Linked DNA regions of Struthio camelus. The protein of the gene in region 2 interacts with the protein of the main gene of each other region in a pairwise test. Links are inferred from orthologs where the notes say so. Each region holds a gene or a part of one and is shown on either strand. Other genes may lie near its edges. The genes, in order: SP2, BANP and FHL2.

What was found.
Region 1: the proteins of BANP (region 2) and SP2 interact in binary tests that used the Homo sapiens proteins (3 or more experiments, as listed by UniProt). The two-hybrid records come from large-scale screens. The link is inferred for Struthio camelus from reciprocal best matches to the Homo sapiens genes BANP and SP2.
Region 3: the proteins of BANP (region 2) and FHL2 interact in binary tests that used the Homo sapiens proteins (3 or more experiments, as listed by UniProt). The two-hybrid records come from large-scale screens. The link is inferred for Struthio camelus from reciprocal best matches to the Homo sapiens genes BANP and FHL2.

Annotation. Positions count from the first base shown.
Region 1 is NC_090966.1:5,808,725-5,812,468, reverse strand, and holds the start of SP2 (transcription factor Sp2), read left to right. Parts: upstream 1-1,218; 5' UTR 1,219-1,415; intron 1,416-3,692; exon of another isoform or gene 3,693-3,744. UniProt on the Homo sapiens protein: Binds to GC box promoters elements and selectively activates mRNA synthesis from genes that contain functional recognition sites.
Region 2 is NC_090951.1:3,025,179-3,028,922, forward strand, and holds the start of BANP (protein BANP), read right to left. Parts: upstream 2,993-3,744; 5' UTR 2,870-2,992; intron 1-2,869. UniProt on the Homo sapiens protein: Controls V(D)J recombination during T-cell development by repressing T-cell receptor (TCR) beta enhancer function. Binds to scaffold/matrix attachment region beta (S/MARbeta), an ATC-rich DNA sequence located upstream of the TCR beta enhancer.
Region 3 is NC_090942.1:154,186,592-154,190,335, reverse strand, and holds the start of FHL2 (four and a half LIM domains protein 2), read left to right. Parts: upstream 1-1,416; 5' UTR 1,417-1,458; intron 1,459-3,744. UniProt on the Homo sapiens protein: May function as a molecular transmitter linking various signaling pathways to transcriptional regulation. Negatively regulates the transcriptional repressor E4F1 and may function in cell growth.

The DNA.
Region 1 (3,744 bases), on a different chromosome or scaffold from region 2:
GTGGCACTCAGGGTTTGCCTCCTCCTAGCGCAGCCTCTGCTGCTGCCTGTCCTCAGTTTGCCCATCAGTAGAATGCGTAGAAGGTGAGTACGCTGCCCGGGCTGCGTGCTCGCCCCCAGGCCGCGTGCATAAAGGGGGCCTGCTGGGCTCTGGGCCCCATCCCATGCCGGCCCGCAGTCCCCGCAGCGACCCTGCAGCTCGGCCGGCTGCATCCATGGGGCGATTCACCTCCATAATAGGATAACGCACTGCAATTAGGCACCGAAATCCCCAGCGCGGCGCGAGGAATGCCACGTCGCCCGGCGTGGTGTGATCCGGTAATGAGAGACGCCGGGGACGCGCGGCGGGACGCGGGGCCGTGCCAGGAGGAGTGGAGGACTGGGGGCAGCAATGCTGTCCCCTCCACGGGCTGGGGGCCCAGGTGCTCCCACCCCGGCAGCCGCCTGGAGCTTGAAGAGGGACGGGATACCCACGGGTGGGTGCCAGGTGTGGCCGTGCCTCGAGAAACGCTGCTTTCGCCTGCCCAGAGCCTCTCTGGACTGGGTGGGGACCAAGGGCGGTGGCCCCCGCGGCGGCCCCCGGCCCCATCGCTTCGGACTCGGATCCCCCCCTCGAGGCGGGAGACGCCCCACGCGCGGCATCAGGGACACGACCCACGCGGGGGGCTGCAGCGCGACGGGCCCCGCGGGAGCCGAGTCTGCCGAGCGCCCGGAGGCAGCGGGCCGGGGGCGGCGCCGCGCCGCGGGCAGCGTTTCCACCCCCCGGGCCGGGAGCGCCCACGCGGGGCGCGCCGAGCCCCGGCCGCGGGGGGGATCCCCGGGACTTCCCGCGCGGGGACCCCGCTGGCGTCATCAGCCTCCCAACGTTCCAGAATCCCCCCCCGCTCCGCCCCTCCGCCAATCACAACTGGAGCGGGGCCGCCTCGCTGTTCCCCTTGGTGAATTTGCCTGTCAATCGGGCCTCGCCTCGGCCAACCGCGAATCTCCCCCTGGATGACGCCCGCCCACGAGGAAGTCCCCACCTCCTTCTCCCTTCCGGAACGCTGTCAATCAATCAGCAGGGGGGCGACAGGCTGGTTTTGCTCTCATTAGCCAAGAGAGCTGTCAATCAGAATTTTGTCCTCCCATTGGGTATCCGGTTTCCGTCCGTCATCCCTGAGGCCCGCGTCCATTGGCGGAGCTGTCACTCCATCACCGGGCCCCATTGCTCAGCGGCGCTGTCCATCAAGAAGCCATCCAGGGCGGATTGGTCGGCGATAAAGCATCCCCCCGCCAGTTGGCCGGAGCGCCGGCAAGCCGGGTGGGGATTGGCGGCCAGGCTGCGGAGGGGGCGGGCCATTCAGGGCGGTGCCCGAGCGGCCTAGGAGGAGGAAGATGGCGCCGTGAGGGGGGTCGGAGCCGCCGCCGCTCCGGCCGGTCTGTGCGGGCGCTCCGCGGGGCGGGGCGGGGCCGCGGCGGCGGACGGCGGGGCCGGCGGGGAGGAGGCGGCAGGGTCGGGCCGGGCCGGGTTGGGGCGGGGGGGGGGGGAAGAGGAGACGAGGCGGCGGCGGGGCCGGCGGAACCGAAGCCCGGAAGGGGCGTGCGGCCTCCGCGGCCCGCCCCGGCCCGCCCTTCCCGTGCGCCGGGCGGGCGGCGCTTCCGGGGCCCGGGAGGGGGCGGGCCCGCCGCCTCGGCCCGCCTCCCCGGGGACCCGCCGCCGCCGCCAGGGGCGGGGCGGCCCCGGGGCCAGGCGGGGGGCCCGGGCCGGGGGGGGGGTGTCCCGGTACGTGGCGGCGGGGAGGGGGCTGCGAGGGCGCCCGGAGGTGCCCGGTCTTTGGGGGGGGGGGTGGTGGTGCTGGGGCAGGGGCTGTCCCGGCTGGGGGGTCTCCGGGGCGGCTTTCGGCCCCGGTGCTGGGGGGGACCCGTGCAGGCGGTGCCCGGGCTGCTGGGGAGACTCGTCCCCGGCTCCCCGGGGAGTGCTTGGGGCTGGGGACACCCGTGCTGAGGGTGCTCGGGGCTGGGGACAGCTGTGCTTAGGGTGCTGGGGGTGCTCGGTGCTGGGGACAGCCGTGTGGAGGGTCCCCGGGGATGCGTGGGGCTGGGGACAGCCGTGGTGGGGGTCCCCGGGGATGCTCGGGGCTGGGGACAGCCATGTGGAGGGTGCCGGGGGTGCTCGGGGTTGGGGACAGCCGTGCCGGGGGTGCTCGGGGCTGGGGACAGCCGTGGTGGGGGTCGCCGGGGGTGCTCGGGGCTGGGGACAGCCGTGTGGAGGGTCGCTGGGGGTGCTCGGGGCTGGGGACAGCTGTGTGGAGGGTCCCCGGGGATGCGTGGGGCTGGGAACAGCCGTGGTGGGGGTCCCCGGGGATGCTCGGGGTTGGGGACAGCCATGTGGAGGGTGCCGGGGGTGCTCGGGGTTGGGGACAGCCGTGCCGGGGGTGCTCGGGGCTGGGGGCAGCCGTGTGGAGGGTCCCCGGGGGTGCTCGGGGCTGGGGACAGCCGTGCCGAGGGTGCCAGGAGTGCTCGGGGCTGGGGACAGCCATGTGGAGGGTCCCCGGGGGTGCTCGGGGCTGGGGACAGCCGTGTGGAGGGTCCCCGGGGGTGCTCGGGGCTGGGGACAGCCGTGCTGAGGGTGCCAGGAGTGCTCGGGGCTGGGGACAGCCATGTGGAGGGTCCCCGGGGGTGCTCGGGGCTGGAGACAGCCGTGCCGGGGGTGCTCGGGGCTGGGGACAGCAGTGTGGAGGGTCGCCGGGGGTGCTCGGGGCTGGGGACAGCCGTGGTGGGGGTCCCCGGGGATGCTCGGGGTTGGGGACAGCCGTGCCGGGGGTGCTCGGGGCTGGAGACGCCTGTGCCAGGGGTGCCGAGGGTGCTTGGGGCTGGAGACACCTGTGCCGGGAGTGCTCGGGGCTGGGGACACCCGTCCGAAGGTGCCGGGGGTGCTTGAGGTTGGAGACCCTCGTACCAGGGGTTCTCAGTGTTGGGGGCAGCTGGCGTCGAGTGCCAGTGGTACCCGGGGCTCTCGGAGCCCGGAGTGGGGGTGTCCAGCAGGGCGAGGTGGGGTACAGAGGTGTCAGCAGAGGGGTGCTGAGCCTGGGGGGGGTTGTGCATGTGCATGGGATGCAGAGGAGCCCAGAGCAGACATGGGGGGGCTGCGGCTAAGGGTGCATGTCGGAAGCATCCTGGGTTTGTGGGGAGGGGGATATGGGGGGCACATGGGGCTCGGGGGAGTGTGCCAGCGATAGAAGGAGTGTGGGGTGTGGGCACGGTACAGCGCGCGGTGCTGGGAGTACGTGGGGGACGTCGGGTGCTGACGTGTGTTGGAGACGCATGGGAGATGGGGTCCGGTGCTGTGTGGGGAAGGGTCTGGGCGACCGTGGGGCCCGTTTTGCCCCTGTAAAGGGCCCTGGGACGAAGAGGGGACTCGGGCTTGTCCCCAAGTAGGCACTTTGCAGCAAGGGGGGCTGCAGGGCCGAGCTGTGCCGAGGGTGCTGGCCCAGCCCTGGGCATGTAAGCAGGGAGAAACAGGCCAAGGTTTCTTTGGTCCCTGGACGGTGTAAGAAGCAACAGGATCTTGGCCGCTCAGGGAATGAGAGATTGATGCTGCTGGAAGTTTCCACACGGCCTCTCTCATCGCTCTGGGGGAGCTGCTGTTCAAGGGTGCCCTGTGATGCGTTTGCTTTCAAGCCATTAAAATCTCTCTCTCTCTCGTATATGCAGAGCTAGGAGCTGCTCCCTCCTCCTTGAAGCCGGTCCTGCAGCGTGCATGTGC
Region 2 (3,744 bases):
ATGCTCCAATTTCCAGAGGAAAAACTGAACTTACTGTATTTTTCCCTTAAGTGGTCTAAGTTAGGGTTTTAGAAATATGAACCAAGATAAAAGAATTTTGCCCAACAGGTGACATCTCTGAAAATTACTTTATTTAAAGTTTCTATATGCAAAGGATTTTAAGAAGTTAACCTTTTTTGTGCACTTTCGCTTAATGCCTTAACATGCAGTCTAATATTAAGTGCTCAGTTAAGCCTACCATATAGGAGCTTTAAAATCCTAAAACTGCAATGAAACAAATATTTGACATGACTTCGAAAGACATTTTATTCTTTTATTTTTACTTAAAAAAAAGAATACGTTTAGCTTTTCAATGAAAACGTAAAAAGAAAAAAAAAAAACAGAAAACAAATTAAATTACTTCAATAGTTAACAGCTAAATACCATGTTCCAAACTAAAGGAAATCAAATCCATGAAAAGAATTTTATTGGAGAAGTTCAGTATACATAGACATTTTGTTCTTCTAATTCTAATCATTCGATTTGCATCGTCTCCTACTACAAGTAGCTCTTTTGCTGTTCTGTTCAATTCACATAAACAAATTCTGTAGATCTCTGGGACCAGAGCTTCTGTACACAAAGACAAATGCCCATCTTCCTCTTAAAACGAATGAGCCTTCAATTACTTTAGAAAGAGCATCACAGGAATTTCAATTCAAGTCATTCTTCAGTGAAAGATATGCAGACATGCAAATTGTGAAAAAACAGAGATGTGTATTCTTCCTGCATAAGCTGCGAATCAACTTAAGAAGTTCAGGAAAAAGTTCAAGACGAAGAGCAGAGACAATCTAAAATCCTTGCAAACGTGAGTATATTAATGTAATTCATGTGGGTCTGAGCCCCACGCCAGAGCACTGCTCTTTGCAGAATCAAGGTAAACCTCTAAGTATCACTTCTGGTTACAAGGAGCTAGGCGTAGCTCAGCTTTCTTCACCTGACAGTATAAAACATATACCTTGCGTTGCGCCAAGAACAGCGCCACATGCAAGAAACAAACCTTTGTAAAACTTCTTTAGCAAAACACGTGCTGGTGGAATCCTGACTGTTGAGAATTGTATACTGTTACTGCTCGCTGTACTACTGCTGCACTTCTGACATTGTTACTCAATTACTCCTTTAAAAGTCTTAAATTTTAAGATCTGCCCTGTAACCACACAACTTTAACACAGCTAGATAATTAAGACATTAAAGCGAGTTACAGTTCTAATAAGTCAGATGATGAATTACAAAACAAAGAAAAGTTACAAAATATTCTCATCCTCTGAATCAGAGAGAATGTTAATGCTTCTAAAGTCCAAATTCAATCTTTTACCCTTCTTAATAAATTAGTCTTTCTTCTTACCATCTTTTCATGTCTTATTGAAAAGTGAACTAAAGCCAAGATATCATTTAGTGTACACAGTAGGGCTCATACAGTTTCCAAATCAATTTGTTATTCTGTTAAGATTTCTTGGGATATTCATTTGGCATATATAAATACCTTCTAACAGAATAAATCCATTGTTTCAAGAGACACTACTAATGAACTAACGCTTAAGATAAGGGTTTTTTTTCAGATCTTGCCTGAGTATTTGAGATTCTACAGACAAGTTTTATGTTTGCTGCTTGAAAGACTGACACCAATAGGGTACTACATTTAAGGTAAACTCACATATAAGTGAATTAAAAAACAAAAAAGTAGCAAAAATCCCTCCAAACTATCATTTTACAACAATCTGAAAGTTACTTCAACTGGCATCATCACTTGGTTGATAATATCCCTCCAAGCTTGTTTCCTTAAAAAAAAAAAAAATTCTTCCCTTGAGAGCACTAAAAATAAATTGGTACATAAACTGCATGACCCACAGCAGAATAAAGCTACTATATTTGGTTAAGTGCACAACTTCCCACTCAACTAGGATTTTAAAAAAAAGGAAAAAAAAAAAGAAAAATTAAAAAATGCACTATTCGAATTAGAAATAAGAACAAAAGGGAAGAGAGAGAGAGAGAGATAACTGGGAGTGCGTTGTCAGACAGGTCGCTACCGTGAGAACACTGGAAAACATCACCCCAGATACGGATGTGAAAAGCCCCTGCTATGACCCGATGACCACGCAGAGAGAACTGCGCCTCTCCCCCCCCAGCAGGCGCGAGCACAGCCGCAGACCCCTCGGCACGACGAAGGGGCAGAGGCAGCGCCGCTGTCACCGCTTATTCACCGTCTATCACGACGGGGGGAGGAGGGCGCGCGGCGACACCCAAAAACCCCTGTCCGCAGCGCCGCGTGTGCGCCACCCCCAGAGAGGGAAAGCGGCTCAGACCTGCCCCGTCCTTCAGAAAGGAGGAAACACAAGCCTCGGGCAGACGGGGGGAGAGGGCACGGTGCCCGGCGGCGCTGCCGGGGAGCAGCCGAGCCCCCCTCCCCCCCCCCCCACTCGCGGCGCTGGGCAGCGAGGGGCGCCAGGACTGAGGCGCCCCAGCCTGGCGGGGGGGGGGGGGGGCTCCCCTTCTCTCCCCAGGCCCGAGAAGGCGGGCGGGGGGGCGAGGCGACGAGGAGCAGCCCCCGAGGAGGGCCGGGCGGCGGCGGCGTCCCGCGGCGGGAGGAGGCGAGAGCCCGGCCGCCCCCCCCCACCCCGCGCCCCGCCCGGCGGAGGGGGGGGGCGGAGGCCCGCGGCCCCCCCCCTCCCCCGCCGCCGCCTCGGCCCCTCCCCGCAGCCGCCGCCTTACGGCGGCGGGAGCTCGGCCGGCGCTGTGAGGAGAGGGGAGGCTGCGAGGGCCGGCGCCGTAAGCCCGGCGTGAGGCCCCCCGGGAGCTCAGCCCCAGCCGTCCGGCGGCGGGGCGCCGCGGTTACCGTGTGCGGTGCCGAATTCTCGTGGTGTTTGTCGAGCGGCTGCGATAATGGCGTCCTTCCTCGCGAGAGATCTCCCTCTCCGCAGCGCGCAGGCGCCGCCGCGCTGCTCCCGCTCGGCCCCCGCCCGCCCCGAGCGCCCGCGCACGCGCAAGGGAGAAGCGGCCGGGCAGCCGCCCTTCACCGCCGCGCTGCCGGCCCAGACTACAACTCCCGGAGGGCAGCGCGCCGGCCCTTCGCCCCCGCCCCCGCCGAGCAGGCCGGGACCTGTAGTACACGCGCCGGAGGCTGTGCACGCTGGGAGTTGTAGTCCGCACCACACGGATGCGCCACATACAAACTCCCCCCCACACACGCACACACTCAATGCCCCCAAACCCCTCAACACCTACCTCCCTCTTTCTCCCTCATTCGCCCTGTTTCACCCTCCTGAGGCGCCAACCCGGCCCTGACACAACTGTGGGAGGCAAGCCTGAGGGCAGACTCAACAACTCCTTGCTCTGGCTGGCGCGTTGCTTTTTCCTACTCCTTTCTCAAGTCCTTTTATTAAATTTCTCCCTCCGCTAAGGGACCTTGAGCGCTTGCATCCCTGAAATGAGATGATCTGAATGGGAGCTGTCATATTAAGAAGAGAGATGTCACCACGCTCAGTACACAGCTGAAGAACAGGCAGCAAGGGGGGGGGGGGGGGAATTGGCTAAATTAGCTTACCAGACTGCTTTTTCTGTTGCTTTTCATTCCTGCATTTGGTATGAGAACAGAATGACTGGGAGAAGGTGGAAAACCTTCTGGAAACCTTCTGGGAACGACAAAAATATGCAAAAGCATGAAAAGAGAGCATGGAGGAAGATTGAAGGTAGTTCTGAGAGAAGCTGAAA
Region 3 (3,744 bases), on a different chromosome or scaffold from region 2:
CAAATAGAGGACAGTAGCTTCAGCCAGGAGGAGGAAGGACAGATAATCTCAGCTTAACAGAATAGTGCCTCATCTGAGAAGTATGTTGCTGCGTTAAGGAGAGGGTCGTTTGCCTATTTGTGCAGGCTGCCTGATCTTGTTTCTTTACCTGCCTCTGTAAAAGAGAGGCTTTTCTTTTCCTCCTCTTGACATCTCACTGCCTACCTTCACAAGTGTAGACTCTCTACTTATCAGGTCAAACTCTTTATCTCATGTCCTGCTCTCCCTGCTCCCCAGACAGAGCAAAACCCCTAAAGGGCAATTCTCAGTCAGGTGGCCACAACAAAAGCGTAGAAGTCCCAGGTCAAATTGCAGGGAGGAACCAAAAGGACCCACAAGGCCGTCCTGACAGGAGAAGTGGCATGCAGTGAGGCAATTGTGTTTCATTCTGGGTGAAAAAAAAGGTTAAAATAGTTCAACTTCGGGCCAAGGATCATGTCTCTGCTGCAACATACTCCAGAGTAGTGCAATAAAGTGAGAGATGGACCTAGCAAGGAGATAGGCTGTAACCCTAATTCTGCATGGAGCCTTGCTTGGGCAGGTTTTCTTCTGAGGCCAGAGGGGCTTTGCCAATGTGAGTTGCTGAACTTTTTTCACCTCTAATCTCTCATTCCTTAAATGTGCGAATGTCCCCTTAACCTAACGTAACAACTCCATTACAGCAGGAAGGAAGCCCAGAGAGGAAAGCAGTCTCCTGAGTTATGAGTGCCCACTGCCAGCCTGGCACATATTTATTTCTTCACCTCAGGCTAGTTGCTAGAGCTTCTTTGTGCTGTAAAATGGTAGAACTAGCAATGCCTTCCCCCATACAAGGGGTTGCAAGGGTAAAACGTGGCAGAATATGAGGGACTCAGACTCCCTTTCAACAAGATGCATACCTGAGATTGATGAATGAAGGGCAAGTTAAAGTTTGTTACATCTTCAGAGCGGTTAGCATTTCCTAGAGTGTTTTTGTTAATCCCAAAGCTTTGACAAATCGTCTGATTTAGAAGCTAGACTCTTACAGCCCAGCTAAAATATCAGGCCATTAAATTACTCTCGTTCTTTGACAGTCCCTCCTAGAACCTCGCTACGCTTAGGTGAGCGTATTTTAAGGTCAGACATTCCCGAATCAAGCAGAGTAAAGGGCCAGGGTTGCTCAGGAGAGTGGCAGCCCTTTCCATTACAGGTCTTGTGCTACCGTTAACTATGATGCCTTAAAAGGCCAGGAGCACAGAGGTGATGCTGTTCTTATCTCCTGTGGATGGCTGGTACTTTGGAGATATTATATTTATAGCTTGTCTAAAGAACGAATGCCTGACTGTGTAATTACTAAATGCATAGTTTGGGTAATCCAATAAAGCAGTAAGTCGCTGCATTTGTCTCTGCCTTCTCTCATTCTCACACTAGCAAGCAGAGGCACCACCAAGTTGCAGCAAGGTAAGAAAACAACTTCTTTCGATTTTAGCTGTCTTTTGGCCCCTTTACTCCTTTTCATCCTCCCTTTCAGGAGGAGGGCTGGAAATTTGTCAACACTTTCTATGTAGAGATCATGAACGGAGTGCTTCTTTCTTGCAGGAAGAGTGGCTTTTCGGTTGTTTGTTCATTTTTCGCTGTCTGTCAGGGCACATACATAGTGTCTCACTTTGCATTTCTAGTCTGCTGTTGGGAACCAGGTGCTAAATAACAGCTGCTCTTTAGTTTCTGCGCTAATAATATGCTGTCATGTTTTCATGTTCTCAGGGAATACAACCATGTCTAACTAGAGACACTTTCCTGGTTTGAATAGGAAACTGAATGACTTCAGGCAGAAAGCTTTTGATTAGTTTTTTTTTCTCTATCAGCATTTTCTTCTTTAGGATGAATATTTGGAAATTGAACAGACAGTGAAAAAAAGGGGGACAGAAGGAACATTTATACTTTTTTTTTTCTGTCTTTGACACCGTTTCGTAATGGTCTTGAAAGAGAGAAAGGCAAATTACACACGATGCTTGCTGATTTTGTGTTTAAACAATTATTTGTTATGGATTACAGCAGCTGTGTGAAAGGGAAAAAGAAAGAAAAGCATTGAAACGTAACTGGGTGTCAAAGCAGGAATTCTTCAGAACTTGTCTGGAAAACAGCATTAGCAACAACTGCCAAATGCCAATTATCAGACCGTTGTTACACTAATTTACTTTTAACCTCATCTCATGAGAGTATTAATTTTCAAATGAAGCGAATAAAAGAAGACCTCTTTGGAAAAATAAGATTGTTTGTGCATGTGTGTATGTGCATTTAGATGCATTTATACATGCGTTTTTATTATAAACATTCTTGTAACAAGAGACTTTTTCAAGCAAGGATCACAAAGTATGAAAGGTAAGAAATATTAATTTATTTTTAGCCAGAGATCAGAAGGTATCATACTTTGCACAGAGTTTTATTTACTATTCCCTTATTTAAGTAAAGAAATAAAAGAAGGCTTATTTCCAAATTGCTGAGCAACCAGTGCTTCACAGACTCTGATAGGGATGTTGGCTCTCTGGAGAGCAGGACTCCTCAGGCCTGATCCACATCCAAGGCCTGTACAAATGGCTCATCTCACTTCAAAGCATTTGAGACTGGGCCTAATGCCTACGTGCGGATTTCAGAGGCAAAAGGAAAGATCCTTACTTGATACAAACTGTCAGACATCTATGGACATTGCTGAAATATGGATGTTTCCATCTACTGTTGATTGGCCTGTACATGTGGAAATGTTGGATCCAACCCAAAGGCGGTTGTAATAGTGAATGAAATATGCCCAGAAATACTTCTGCTGGGAAAAGTGGTCCTGGGGTCACCTGGTCTGAGCAGTCTGTGTCCATGCCATTATGCACTCCTGGTGTCTGAACAAAGTGGCCACATCTGAAAGGTATCCTGGGGTTGGGCTACCCACCTCCCAAACCATGCCGAGGATCTGGCTGGGAGAGGGCTAGCTGGCGCACGCCAAAACTGCGCCAGGGACAACTGACCAGCGTGGCCAAATGAGTTGCGGAGCCTGGAGCATCCTGTGGTCCTGTCTGATTTATGAGTATTGATGTAGCCCCTAGTGCACCCCTACCTGCATCTGAACTTGTTCTTTTACACGGCCTCAATTAATGTGTCTCATCCAGCTGAGCTATCCTGGCTTTCTCTGGTGGGGGCCTGTGACCGTCAGTGCAGACAATATCAAAAGAGCAAGCTTAGAAACTAGTTTGTTCCATATTTTGTGTGAAGAACAGCATATAACGTAAGTAGAAGAAAAAAGGAATGCAGAGTACCAAACTGGCTGCACACATCTATCTTATCTAAAGGCTTACTATCCCCTCACTGATGCCTGGGGAGGCTTAACTTCTTCAGATATCACAGTCAGAGCCTCTGCACATCCATCTGTTCTCCAGCAGTTACTGTCCCACCGCTGGCCCAGGATCTGTTCTTTTCAGATCCTTTCAGAGCTCCAACCTTCTGGTCCCCAGAACTGATAAAATGGGTTTTGTAAGTTGCCTGGCGTTCAAACGTAGGTGCTTCCCACTGAAGAGCGCAGTGTTGCCTCTAAGCAGTCCTCCAGTGTGGACTGGGAGACGCCTTGCCCAAGCCCATTGACCCATGTTGTCTTGTTTATCCAGGACCCTGCCATTAAGCTAAACTGACGCCACCACAGTAAATTGCATAATAAAGAAGTTACATACAAAACTAATATTTTTAATAGAGTAGCCTCGTTTC